Callithrix jacchus: one gene and its partners. The protein of the gene in region 3 purifies or fractionates together with the protein of the main gene of each other region. This does not show direct contact. Links are inferred from orthologs where the notes say so. Each region holds a gene or a part of one and is shown on either strand. Other genes may lie near its edges.

What was found. Proteins that work in one complex are often made in the same cells at the same time.
Region 1: the proteins of CDK19 (region 3) and MED1 purify together in Homo sapiens (affinity purification with mass spectrometry; 7 studies listed by BioGRID and IntAct, counting the BioPlex papers as one, with this or other methods). This does not show direct contact. The link is inferred for Callithrix jacchus from reciprocal best matches to the Homo sapiens genes CDK19 and MED1.
Region 2: the proteins of CDK19 (region 3) and MED12L purify together in Homo sapiens (affinity purification with mass spectrometry; 3 studies listed by BioGRID and IntAct, counting the BioPlex papers as one, with this or other methods). This does not show direct contact. The link is inferred for Callithrix jacchus from reciprocal best matches to the Homo sapiens genes CDK19 and MED12L.

The regions. Positions count from the first base shown.
Region 1 is NC_133506.1:119,910,721-119,914,981, forward strand, and holds the start of MED1 (mediator of RNA polymerase II transcription subunit 1), read right to left. Parts: upstream 2,931-4,261; 5' UTR 2,728-2,930; coding exon 2,703-2,727; intron 1-2,702. UniProt on the Homo sapiens protein: Component of the Mediator complex, a coactivator involved in the regulated transcription of nearly all RNA polymerase II-dependent genes.
Region 2 is NC_133518.1:34,162,788-34,167,039, reverse strand, and holds the start of MED12L (mediator of RNA polymerase II transcription subunit 12-like protein), read left to right. Parts: upstream 1-1,322; 5' UTR 1,323-1,648; coding exon 1,649-1,747; intron 1,748-4,252. UniProt on the Homo sapiens protein: May be a component of the Mediator complex, a coactivator involved in the regulated transcription of nearly all RNA polymerase II-dependent genes.
Region 3 is NC_133505.1:116,796,341-116,799,985, forward strand, and holds part of CDK19 (cyclin-dependent kinase 19), read right to left. Parts: coding exon 3,554-3,645; intron 3,403-3,553; coding exon 3,333-3,402; intron 109-3,332; coding exon 36-108; intron 1-35.

The sequences.
Region 1 (4,261 bases), on a different chromosome or scaffold from region 3:
GTCCAGGTTGGAGTGCAATGGCGTGATCTTGGCTCAAGGAAACCGCCACCTCTCAGGTTCAACTGAATCTCCTGCCTCAGCCTCTGGAGTAGCTGGGATTACAGGCATGCACCTTGCCACACCCAGCTAATTTTGTATTTTTAGTAAACACGAGATTTCACCATGTTGGACAGGCTGGTCTCCAACTCCTGAACTCAGGTGATCCACCCACCTCAGCCTCCCCGTTTTGGGATTACAGGTGTGAGCCACCATGCCTGGCCTCAAACACTATTAAAAGCGCTGGGGAGGGCTGGGTATGGTGGCTAACATCTGTAATCACAGCATTTTGGGAGGCTAAGGCAGGTGGATCACCTTAGGTCAGGAGATCTAGACCAGCCTGGCCAACATGGTGAAACCCCATCTCTACTAACAATATAAAAATTAGCCGGGCATGGTGGTGGGCGCCTGTAAACCCAGCTACTCAGGAGACTGAGGCAGGAGAATCGCTTGAATCCGGAGGTGGAGGTTGCAGTGAGCCAAGATCACAGCACTGCACTCCAGCCTGGGTGACAGAGTGACACTCCATCTCAATTAAAAAAAAAGTGCTGGGGAAGCCAGACATTGTGGCTCACACCTATAATCCTAGCTAGCACTTTGGGAGGCCAATGTGGAAGAATACTTGAGCTGGGGAGTTCAACTACAGCTGGGGCAACGTAACAAGATCCCACCACTTTAAAAGAAAAAAATAGCCAGGCTCTGCTAAGTGGCTCACGCCTGTAATCCTGGCACTTTGGAAGCCCCTTCTCTACTAAAAATATAAAATTATCAAGTGTGGTGGTGCATGCCTCTAATCCCAGCTACTTGGGAGGCTAAGAAGAATCACTTGAACCCAGGAGGCAGAGGTTGCAGGAAACTGAGATTACATCATTGCACTCCAGCCTGGGCAACAAGAGTGAAACTGTCTCAAAAAAAAAAAAAAAAAAGGACAGTCTTACTCAGTAGCTAAGGCTTGAGTGCACTACTGGCACAATCATAGCCTATTGCAGCCTCGATCTCCCAAGGTCCAGGATGAAGTGATCCTCCCAGCTCAGCCTTCAGAGTAGCTGGCACTATAGCTAATTTTCCTTTTTTTTTTGAGACAGGGTCTCACTCTGTCACCCAGGTTGGAGTGCAATAACATAATCCTGGCTCACCGGAGTCTTGACCTACAGGATTCAGGTAATCTGCCTACCGCAGCCTCCCAAGTAGCTAGACTACTGGCTTGTGTCACCACGCTCAGCTAATTTTTGTATCTGTTGTAGAAACAGGGTTTTGCCATGTTGTCCAGGCTGGTCTCCAACTCATGGGCTCAAGTGACCCTCCTGCTTCGGCCTCCCAAAATGCTGGGATTACAGGCTTGAACCACTGCCTGGCCCTAATTTTTTATTTATTTATTTATTTATTTATTTATTTTTGAAATGAAGTTTCACTTTCATTGCCCAGACTGAAGTGCAGTGGCAAAATCTTGACTCAATGCAACCTCCACCTCCTGGGTTTGAGTGATTTTCCTGCCTCAGCCTCTCAAGTAGCTGAGATTACAGACAAGCCACCATGACCAGCTAATATTGTATTTTTAGTAGAGATGGCGTTTCACCATATTGGCCAGGCTGGTCTTGAATTCCTGACCTCAGGTGATCCACCTGCCTTGGCCTCCCAAAGTGCTGGGATTACAGGCCCTCACGCCCAGCCAATTTTTTTATGTTTTTGTAGAGAGAGGGTCTCACTATGTTGCCCAGGCTGGTCTCTAACTTCTGGGCTCAAGGGATCCTCCAGCCTCAGCCTCCTAAAGTTCTGGGATTACAGATGTGAGTCACTGCACCCGGCCCCACCTTTTGACCTCTCCTCCAAAACATACTTCTTGTTGTCCTTGAGAAACCTGCTGATAGGTAACTTTACTTCAATGCTCAGACATTTTTTGAGCGACTATTTACGTCAACGCTTATTTTTTGAGCAACTATTACGTGCCAGAAACTATACAAAAATTAATCAGGCAAGGTCCCTAATCTGCAAAGCTCAGAGTAAATTGAAAAAGATAAACAAACAATAATACAGCTCACTGTATCAACAGAACTATGCCCAAAATGCTAAGGAAGCATCTATACTGGAGTGTGGAACTTTAGAGAATCTTAGTAAAGTTCCACAGAAAAGTTTGTTTTTCTGCAGTTCTTAGTTCAGTCAATAAAAGAAAGGGAAAAAAAAATGAAATTCAGTGCAGTTTAAAAACACACAATAGCACGGGATCTGAACACTTGACATTGTAGGGAACTGCTGGCTGCTAATAAATATAAGGACCTAATCATTTCATTTATGCCAAAATATCCTCCAGTACGTTTACCCACAGCCCTGTATTTACTCAGACGTCTCTTCTGGAACGAGATGTAAGCTGGTTTTGTATTCACTGGCCCGGTCTCCCACCACTTTAAGCCAAAAGTGCCCTGAGGCCCAACCGACTGTCCCTAGTCGATCAGGAAATCTTCACAGAAGTTGAGAGTCCCCATCACCCCAAAGTCGGAGCTCTATATTCACCAAGGAAGGTATAGTGAGAATCTAAAACTCATAAACATTCCCTCTCCTGGACTCTATGCCCGTAAAGTGGCCCCTATCGGACATTGGCAGGAACCTCCTCTCACAAACCGGCTCCCCAAATTGTGTCCCGCCCCCTCCTTTCCCCCTCGGTCACTTACCCTCGGTTTCCCCCTGAGCTTTCATCCTGAAGGCGGGGAGAGCCTGGATCTGCCACAAAGGGATAAGCCCTTCCCCGCCACTAACGGGGAAAACAAGTTGGCCCGGGATCCCGAGACGCAGGGCACCAGCAGTCCCTACTCTTCCCGGGAAGGATCAGTCTGAAGTCCCCGGCGACAAGAAGAGAAGGGTGCTCGAGGCCGCCGCCATCTTCCCCAACGGAACTTCCCAAAATTCGCGAGATAAACCGTGGTCCTGCCAGAGGGAGGAAGAGGACAGGGCATCGAAATCTCGCGAATATTGGTCAATGCGTGGGCCTCGCGAGATTTCTTTCAAGCTAGTCCTGTCTTTGCTCTGGGCTGTCTCAGGCCTGACGCTGCTGGTTGTTAAAACTGCGGGCCAGTAACTTACAGCTCCCCTGCGGAAACCAGCATTTTCTTTTTTAATTTGAGCAGTTAAACAACTCGCAAATTAAAATCTCCAGATCTCTCTACTGAAAGACTATCTTTTCAAAGGCTATTGGTATCAGGAATGTATGTTTTCCGTGAGATACTAGATGCAATAATTATGTCCTAAGAAAGCTAGTGGCGCATTGTAACATGACATTCAAAGACAGCCTAGCACAATTAATTCCCCTTTCTTTCCTTCTTTTTTTTTTTTTTTTTTTGAGACGGAATCTCGCTGTGTTGCTAGAATGGAGTCCAGTGGTGCGATCTCGACTCACTGCAATCTCCCTCTGCCTCCTGGATTCAAGCGCTTATCCTCCCTAAGCTTCCCGAGTAGCTAGGATTATAGGTGTGTGCCACCACACCAAGCTGATTTTTGTGTTTTTAGTGGAGACGGAGTTTCACTATATTGGCCTCTATCTTCTGACCTCGTGATCCGCCCGCCTTGGCCTCCCAAAGTGCTGGAATTACAGGCGTGAGCCACCGCGCCGGCTTCTTTTCTCATTTTTTTAGTTTCAAAACTTTCTTTCTCTTTCTTTCCTTCTTTCTTTCTCCTTCCTTCCTTCCTTTTCCTTCCTTCCTTCCTTTTCCTTCCTTCCTTCCTTCCTTCCTTCCTTCCTTCCTTCCTTCCTTCCTTCCTTCCTTCCTTCCTTCCTTCCTTCCTTTCTTTCTGACAGAGTTTCACTCTTGTTACCCAGGCTGGAATGCAATGGCGCGATCTCGGCTCACCGCAACCTCCATCTCCTCGGTTCAAGCCATTCTCCTGCCTCAGCCTCCCGAGTAGCTGGGACTACAGGCGCAGGCGCCATGCCCAGCTAATTTTTGTATTTTTAGTAGAGACGGGGTTTCACCACGTTGACCAGGATGGTCTCGATCTCTTGACCTTGTGATCCACCAGCCTTGGCCTCCCAAAGTGCTGGGATTATAGGCGTGAGCCACCGCGACGGCCTCTCTCCTTCCTTCCTTCCTTCCTTCCTTCCTTCCTTCCTTCCTTCCTTCCTTCCTTCCTTCCTTTCTTCTTTCTTTCTTTTTCCTTCCTTCCTTCCTTCTTTCTTTCTTTTTTGAGATGAAGTGTCGCTCTCTCACCCAGGCTGGAGTGCAGTGGCAGAACCTCG
Region 2 (4,252 bases), on a different chromosome or scaffold from region 3:
GGTCTCGCAGAGCTCGCGGCAGGTGGCTCAGCATCTTGGTGCCCGCACCCCGAAGCGAGCGAGGAGCGAGGGTGGGTTGGATGACCAAGGTCTGCCCTGGAAGATCATCGCCCCCAACCCCCGCCCCTTCCACGCTCTCGGCGCAGGTGAGGTTTTCGGCTCAGGCCACCGGGACAGCGACCTCTGAGGAGGTCGAGGCGGAAGGCGCAGCTGGGGGCCTGGAGCGGGGCTCCTGAGGGCGCTCCCGCCTTCGCCCTGGTTCACCCCAGGGCCAGCCTCGGCGCCGGAGCCCGCGGGCTGCGCGCTCTGCGGCTGCGAAAACCCGGAGAGGCGGATTGGAGCGCGCTCACCGCGCTCGCAGCCAACTCCTCCGCGGTCCGGCCGCCGAGCTGGGCATGCTCAGTACGGACGCCGCGCCGCCGTCCGCCAACTCGGAAGCTCGCGCTCCCCGGCCGTGGGGGCGAGAACGCCGGCGCTGAGCCGGCGTCGCTCGCCGCCCCCAGACAGTGGCAAACTTCGCGGCGTCCCCGGAGCTCGTCCGGGCGAGGCAGATACCTCACAAATAAAATCAAATCCAATTCCCCATTCTAACCCGAATAATGGAGGCTGCAGCGGCCGGAGTGACCCCGCCGCCGCCAGCCCCTGCCCGCTAGCCGCGGACCAACAGGTAAACTGTTGGGGGTGGGGGGTGGGGGGTGGACGGGAAGAGGAGCTGGGGCCGGGGAGAGGCTGCGGGCTGGAGGAGCCCGAGACGCCTGCGAGCTGGCTGCCCCCGTCGGCGCTCACAGACATCGCGCCTCACCCCCTTCCTCAGCCCCTGGAGGGACAGTAAAGGGTTAAGTCGGCCCCGCGCCACCGTGAGCACGGCCCCCTCCAGCCGCCGCGACCGCCAGCAGCGCGCCTCGGCGCCTGCCCGAAGCCGCCGAGGGGACCGGAGCCGCGGATGCGCCACCGGAGCCTGGCGGGCGTCTAGGAGGCACCGGCCGCTTCCCACCGGCAGCATCCCTGGGTCTCGCGCCCCCTCCAGGTCTCCCTCCCTCTGCACCGGCCGGGTCCGCGCCCAGGTGGCGGAGTCTGCGGGGCGCGTGGCGGCGGGGGAAGGGTCTCTGCCGGGTAAGAGAGGCGGGGGCGGTCCGCTCCTCAGGGGAGGAGGGCCACCCTCGCCTTGGGCGAGCACTTGAGACACCAGCCTAGGCGCCAAGAAAAGTTTTTTTATTTTTTTTCCCAGTGCCCCACCCCCATCCCATCCTGCGCCCAGCTGGGGTGGGTTTGGGTCCATTGGTGAAAAAAGTCACACGTTCCCATCAGCTGCTCCTCCCCCTGGGGACTGGGTGTGGGGGAGCGCAGGAGGTAGGCGCCGCGGAGGACCTTGCCGACCTCTAGCCCCTCCGCCGCCGCCGCGGGAGCGGTGCGTCCCCCGGCCCGAGCGTAGTCGAGTGCCCGCCGGAGGCTGTCCCCATCAGTGCGTGTCTGCTGCCCGGCAGCGGCAGCATCCAACCTGCTTTATTCCTGCCTGCAGCGCCACAGCGAGCGGGCGAGCGAGGAGGGAGAGAGAGGGAGTCTGTCTGCAAAGTGCTGCTCCCTGGTGCTCAGAGGCGGCTGCTCCAGCTCCAACTCTCATTCATTTCGCCGGTTAACATGAGAGATCATGGCCGCCTTCGGGCTTCTCAGCTATGAGCAGAGACCACTGAAGCGCCCCCGGCTCGGGCCGCCCGACGTCTACCCACAGGACCCCAAGCAGAAGGAGGTAAGGGCGCCGGCGGCGGCCTCGGCAACCGGGGCCGCCCTCTGCAGCGCTGACCCGGGGCCAAGTTGGCCCAGCGGGCATCGCCGGCGCTGCAGGAGAAGAGGTCGGGGAGGGGGATGAGAGACGGGGGCCGGGCTGGGGGGCTGGGCGACCCCCCGGCGGCGGAGATCTTGCGGCTGTCAGTCCTCGCGCTCCAATGGGGCAGTCGCTCTCCGTGTGCCGGTAGCTTTCGCGTTGCCTGGCCTTGCACGGCGCCACCGGGCGCTTCTCCGGCTTCTTCCCTGCGGAATCCCTGCCGGCTCTCACCCGCTTCTGCCTGCTTAATTTTTCTTCTTACCGCTTCGGCAAATCCTCGTAAACTTTTTGAAAAATGTGGGAATGCAGTGCATCCTGCACTGAGGTCTTGGGTTTTGCGTCCGCTGGCCAGGGACGAAGGTGGGGGGAGCTTTTCAAATTTTCCGGTTTGGAATGGAAGTCGTTTTTATCGAAGTGATAAACACTTAGCTCTCGGAATATACATCTGTATCCCTTCTCCCCTTTACAAATTAAAATTAAGGAGAAACACCGGTTTTCATCCCTAGAGGCAATTGGCTTAATTGCTGGAGACTGTTTTGTATATGTACAGGCAAGTTACCTTGGGAAGGAATAGTTCCCAGGATTGCTTATTTTTTGAATGAAATTTATTGGAGAAACCTTGACTCTTGCACCAGGTACACTAGCTTCAATGGCTAGGGTAACCACAGCATTTTGTAGCTATGTTTGTGTTTGTCAGGAGTTAAGTAATTATGTAACAAGTCTCCAGTTATAATGATCACCTTTGGCTACACCATTTGCCCAGGGACTTGCCTTTTTTTTTCTGATCACCTGCTAGCCAGCTGTGCTTTTTGGGTTTGCCAGCTGCAGCCCACCCATCTTGTGTTTTCTTCAGCTAAACGCGAACTGACCACGTTTCAAAACTTATCTTTCTGAGAATCTAAAAACCTTCCATTAAAAGATTGTGCGTTCACTGATAGCACAGAAGGGGCCTTGTAAACCAGGCAAGGAGGGGGTCCTTAATTCCTTTTGATAAATGTGTCTGTTTCATTAGTAAAGTGCTAGTTCTGCCTAAACTGTCTTGCTTATAACGTGTCTGAGAAGTAAGGAACAGCACCTCCTTTTAGAGGTTCAGCACACTAAATATACTCGAGTATCGGTGGAGTCATGCAGATGAAAGCTGGGAAGGTTTTACAGGTAGTTTCCAGCACCAGCTTCACAGGATGGTAGGAGTTTGAGAAGATTTCGCGGATTTTTCCCCCACCTGTTACCCCACCCTTCTAACTCAATTTAGAATGAAGTTAATGGTTAAGGACTGGAAATATTAGAGAGGCTGAGGATCAGTGTAAACTTAATAACTTAAAAATTATTGGGAGGAAATTCTTAAAGTTTTGATAGGGACAGGGATATTTCGTTGATCTTTATCATCTCATAATTAATGTGTTACTGTGCCTTTCCAGAGGGCAGCATAATTGATAGCATGATGGCTTGGGATGCTGTGTTTGCTTATTTAGCATTTGTTCTTCAGGCCAACGCTCATTTCAGGACTGGGGCCTCTGCGATTCTGGAAAGAGTAATTTTGGATTTCAGGGTCTTACAACATTTTATGGAGTTGTAAAACTGGAAGCGACCTTAGGGACTACTTTTTATAACTTTCTTTGGACGAAGTGAAACAGGCCTAGGGAAGCTTGACTGGTTTAACCAAGGTTTATGGGGGAATAAGCAGAGGAGTTGTACCACCAAAACAGTATTTATGTCAAAATGAATACTGCTTTGAGGATGATTTATGGGCTATTATGTTCTGATGTTATCCCCTTTTCCAAGGCAGCCAATGTTTTATCTCTCTCAAGCAGAGTCAGAGTTATGTGTGGCTGTAGCCAAATTTGGGTACAATGTGGAACAGGTGCTTGGCTGTTCTTGGGTGGTTGGTGAGTAGCCTAAGCTTTAGTTATTTATGTACTACTTCCCTCAAGATTTCTACCCTGTACCACCTGTACTTTTATTCTAAAGTTTTCTTTAAGTTTTAAGAAACTCTGTGTTTCCTGGGCAATAATACACATGGAGTCATGGTTTTATTACAATATATGTATACATCAAATTTATATCAAATCATGTATACATACTATTTTAAATCCATTTGATATTAGATGCATAGACACGTATATGATTATACATATTAAAATGAGACCATTACTATTAACACTTTAAAAGTTCTTCTCTGTAACTAAAACAACAGTTGTGATCCATTAGAGATACGTGTGGTGGGAAATGCTGATTTAATGGAGGAAGTGTGGGCTTCCAAGTTGGGCTGACCTGGATTTAGGTTTTTTTTTTTTTTCAATTGTGTGACCTAGGCAAGTTGCATAGCCTCTCATTTGTAAATTAGTCTGATTGTACGCTTCAGAAAAAATTTCAAACTAACATTTGGGTGATGAAAGCCCTCCTCCTAGTAGAAGTTATTCTTGTCACCAT
Region 3 (3,645 bases):
AGGATCAGATTTCAGTCTGGGAGAGAAGCACCTACCAAGAGGAACACTTTGCTGTCAGGCTTGACCTTGTGTTTCTCCATGTACTTTATGAGGCTACTGTTGGCATACCTGCAAGGACACACACAGTCACACATCACTAGGAACACTCATCCAATTGCTATTTTTTTAATGATAAGCTTCAAGATGGGTTTTCCTATAAGGTATGTGTGTAAGCCATTGTTGTTTCTAATTAAGGAGGAATACATTGCCAAATATTAGCAAATGTGTGAAGAAGTAGGAACTGTCACACACACATGAGAGTTTATACAATGCCTTTGGAAAACAGTTATGCATTAGTGTTGAAAATGTGTATAGCCTATACCTAGCAACTCCATTTCTAGGCACATAGCTGAGCCTAAGAGATGCTTCTGTACATGTAAATCAGGATACATGGATAAGAATATTCTTAGCAGCCTTTTAGTAATGGCAGAAAAACTAACAAACAAACAAAAATGTAGATAACCCAAATGACCATTAACTGAAGAATGGGTACAGTTTTATATACTCACAGAATGGAATGTTCCGCAACAGTAAAAATGAATATGTAAGGTTGAGTGATGAGAAAGAGCAAGTTGCAGAAGAAAGTACATACTATGTTACCATTTATAAAAAGCCGAAGGACAATAAACTGAAGAGGAATTTTTAGAGATACATACATGTGAACTAGAACTATCATAAAAATTGTGGGATGACAAACCCAAATGCAGAACACTCAGAGTCTACCCTCTGGGAGGAATGTGGCTAGGGAGGTGGGGCATACAGGTACTTCAGTAACCTTAGTAATGCTCTAATTCTTAGGTTCAGAGGTGAGCAAAGGGTATTCATTTTATTATTCTAAATACACTATGTCTTTTTTCATTATATATTCTTTCCTACATATGAAATATTTCAAATTAAAAGGTCTAAAAATAGGTAACATGTTTCATGATAAAAAGAATTACAGAATACAGAAAGTATAAGGAAGAAAATTAGAATCACTCACAAGCCACTGTGACAAGAAACCACTGACAAAATTTTTATAATGTCCCTTTGGTGTGGTGTGTGTGTGTGTGTGAGTGTGTGTGTGCGCCTATACATACATGGTATAAACATAGATTGTTTTGCTTTTTTCATAAAATTGGAATACTACTATAAAAATTGGCTTAGCTTTCTCTTTAATATTGTTCCATAAACATTCTGCCCTGTCAAATACTCTTCAAATTTACTGTTGAGTGGCTGCCTATCTCCTACTGGTACGGGTATTACTTGTTTCTAAGAGCTATGGCATACAAGTCCTTGTAGCTAAACCTGATGTGCATGGCAGGGAGCTGATATTCTAGCAGGTGAGACTCAGATCCCTACTAGACCCTGACTCAGTCATTTACCAATTGTGTGATCTTGTGCAAGTTAGTTCACCTCTATCAAAGCCTTAGGTTATGAATGTGAAAAGTGGACATTGTAATTATACCTACCCTATAGATTTGCTATGAAGATTATATGAAAAAATGTAGGTAAAGTGTTTAGCACCACCCTGGTATATAATAAGTACTCAGCTATTTGTGGCCACTCTGATTACTTCCACAGGATAAATTCCAGGAATCATCAGGTCAAAGGGCATGCACATTTTAAAGCCCTTTTTAGGTGCTCTAGAATCTCGCCACACAAATGTAGCCCTTACCAGCGATCTGAGCATCACCTGAGAACCTATATTAGAAATGAGGATTCTTAGTCCTTACCCCTGATTCTGACTCAGAATCTACATTTTTAACAAGGTCTCCAGGTGATTCGTAGGTACAATGAAGTCTGAGAAGTACTCATCCTCACCAGTAGCATATGAGTAATAATTTTTTTTAAATAAAAATAGAGATAGGATCTAACTATGCTACCCAGGCAGGTATCAAACTCCTGGGATCAAGGGATCCTTCCACCTCAGCCTCTCAGAGTGTGGGGATTACAGGTGTGAGTGAGCCACTGTGCCTGGCCAGAATGTCCATTTTATTGTACCCTTGCTGGCACCACCCTGATGGGTTGTACCTTGCTGGCAAGGGTACAATAAAATGTTAAATGAAAATAGCCAGTTTGGTTTTGGATGTTTAATTTAAAGAATTTATAGAACATTCAGTTTGGAATTCCACAAGGCAATTAGATAAATGATTTTGAAACTTGGAAAAGTGAACTGAACTGAGTAAGACACATAATGGGAGTTATCCACATAATTGATGGTAAATTGTGGCCATCAAAACCATGGAGTCTGCCTGGGAAAATCTCTAGAGTGAGAAGAGAGCCCAGGATAGAGCACTGATATCAGCACTATCCTTAAGAAATGGATAGAGGCAAAGAACCCCACCAAGGATTGTGAGAACAAGGGGCTAGAAATGATCAATGCCATTCTCTACTTCTCTTTATGATGTCTGCTTTTGTTCCTATAAGCCATCGTGTCTTGAAATTTTCCTGGTAAGTTGCCCATAGAGAACCTCCTCCACCATTTTCCGCAGGGGTGCCTACTTATAACAAACTCCTCACCTGCCATCACCCTTAATCTCATTTTTGCTCAAAGTAAATGCCTTCATCAGTTTGTTTTACTCATATTCCAGGCATGTGTTCTTCCAGGTTTCCTAGTTCAGACTGTCAGTCACCAGCCATCACTCAAATAAAGATGAAATCACAGCTGTGGCCTTGAATTGAGACCTCTATTCATTCTAAAACATAACAGATATAAACTACCTACTGATCCTTAAATTCTTAAGTTTTTAATACTGCAGCCTCAACCTGAACTATATATATGTTAACAGTATCTGGAGTATTTTCTTTAAATCACAGGCATAATTAATATGCTAAAATCTTGGTTTCTAGTTTAAATAATAATCTACATCTGTTTTTTGAAAAGATTAATTTAAATATTCCCATTGAAATTCCTGCCTATAACAAACATGCACTATGGTTTTAATGTTTATGTCCCCTCCAAAATTCATGTTGAAACTTAATTCCCAATTTAACAGTATTAGAAGATGAGTCCTTCCAAAATTGAGGGCTTTGCTTTCATGAGTGGGATTATTGCCTTGTAAAAGAGGCATCACACAGCATCTGCCCCTTTTTGCCCTTCGACCTTCCACCACGTGAGGAAACAGCAACAAGAAGCCACCTTAGAAGCAGAAAACAACCCTCAAGAGATACCAAACATGCTGGTGCCTTGATCTTGGACTTCCCAGCCTTAAGAACTGGGAAAAAACAAACTTCTGTTGTTTATAAATTACACAGCCTAAGGTATTTTTTATAGCAGCACAAAAAGACTAAGATAATGTGGAATTACTCACGTTGTTCTTCTAAAGTCTTTTTGAAGTGTGGGATATTCTGGCATCTTTCTAATATCTTCCCAGTCTTTGTCTTACAAAAACAATGAAATATTTTAGAAAAAAATGTGTTAATTTAAAGTCTAATTATTTTAGCTTAAAACTATACATTAAAATATGCTTATGAGAAGAAATGATTTTGAAGTATGACTCAAAATATGACTTTAAAAAGGAAAATAAATTACCTGCAGGAAATCCCATGACACTAAATATCCGATCCAGTTGATCGTGATGGAAGGGATTGCTTGTTTTTATATCTTCCTGACGACAGTGAAAA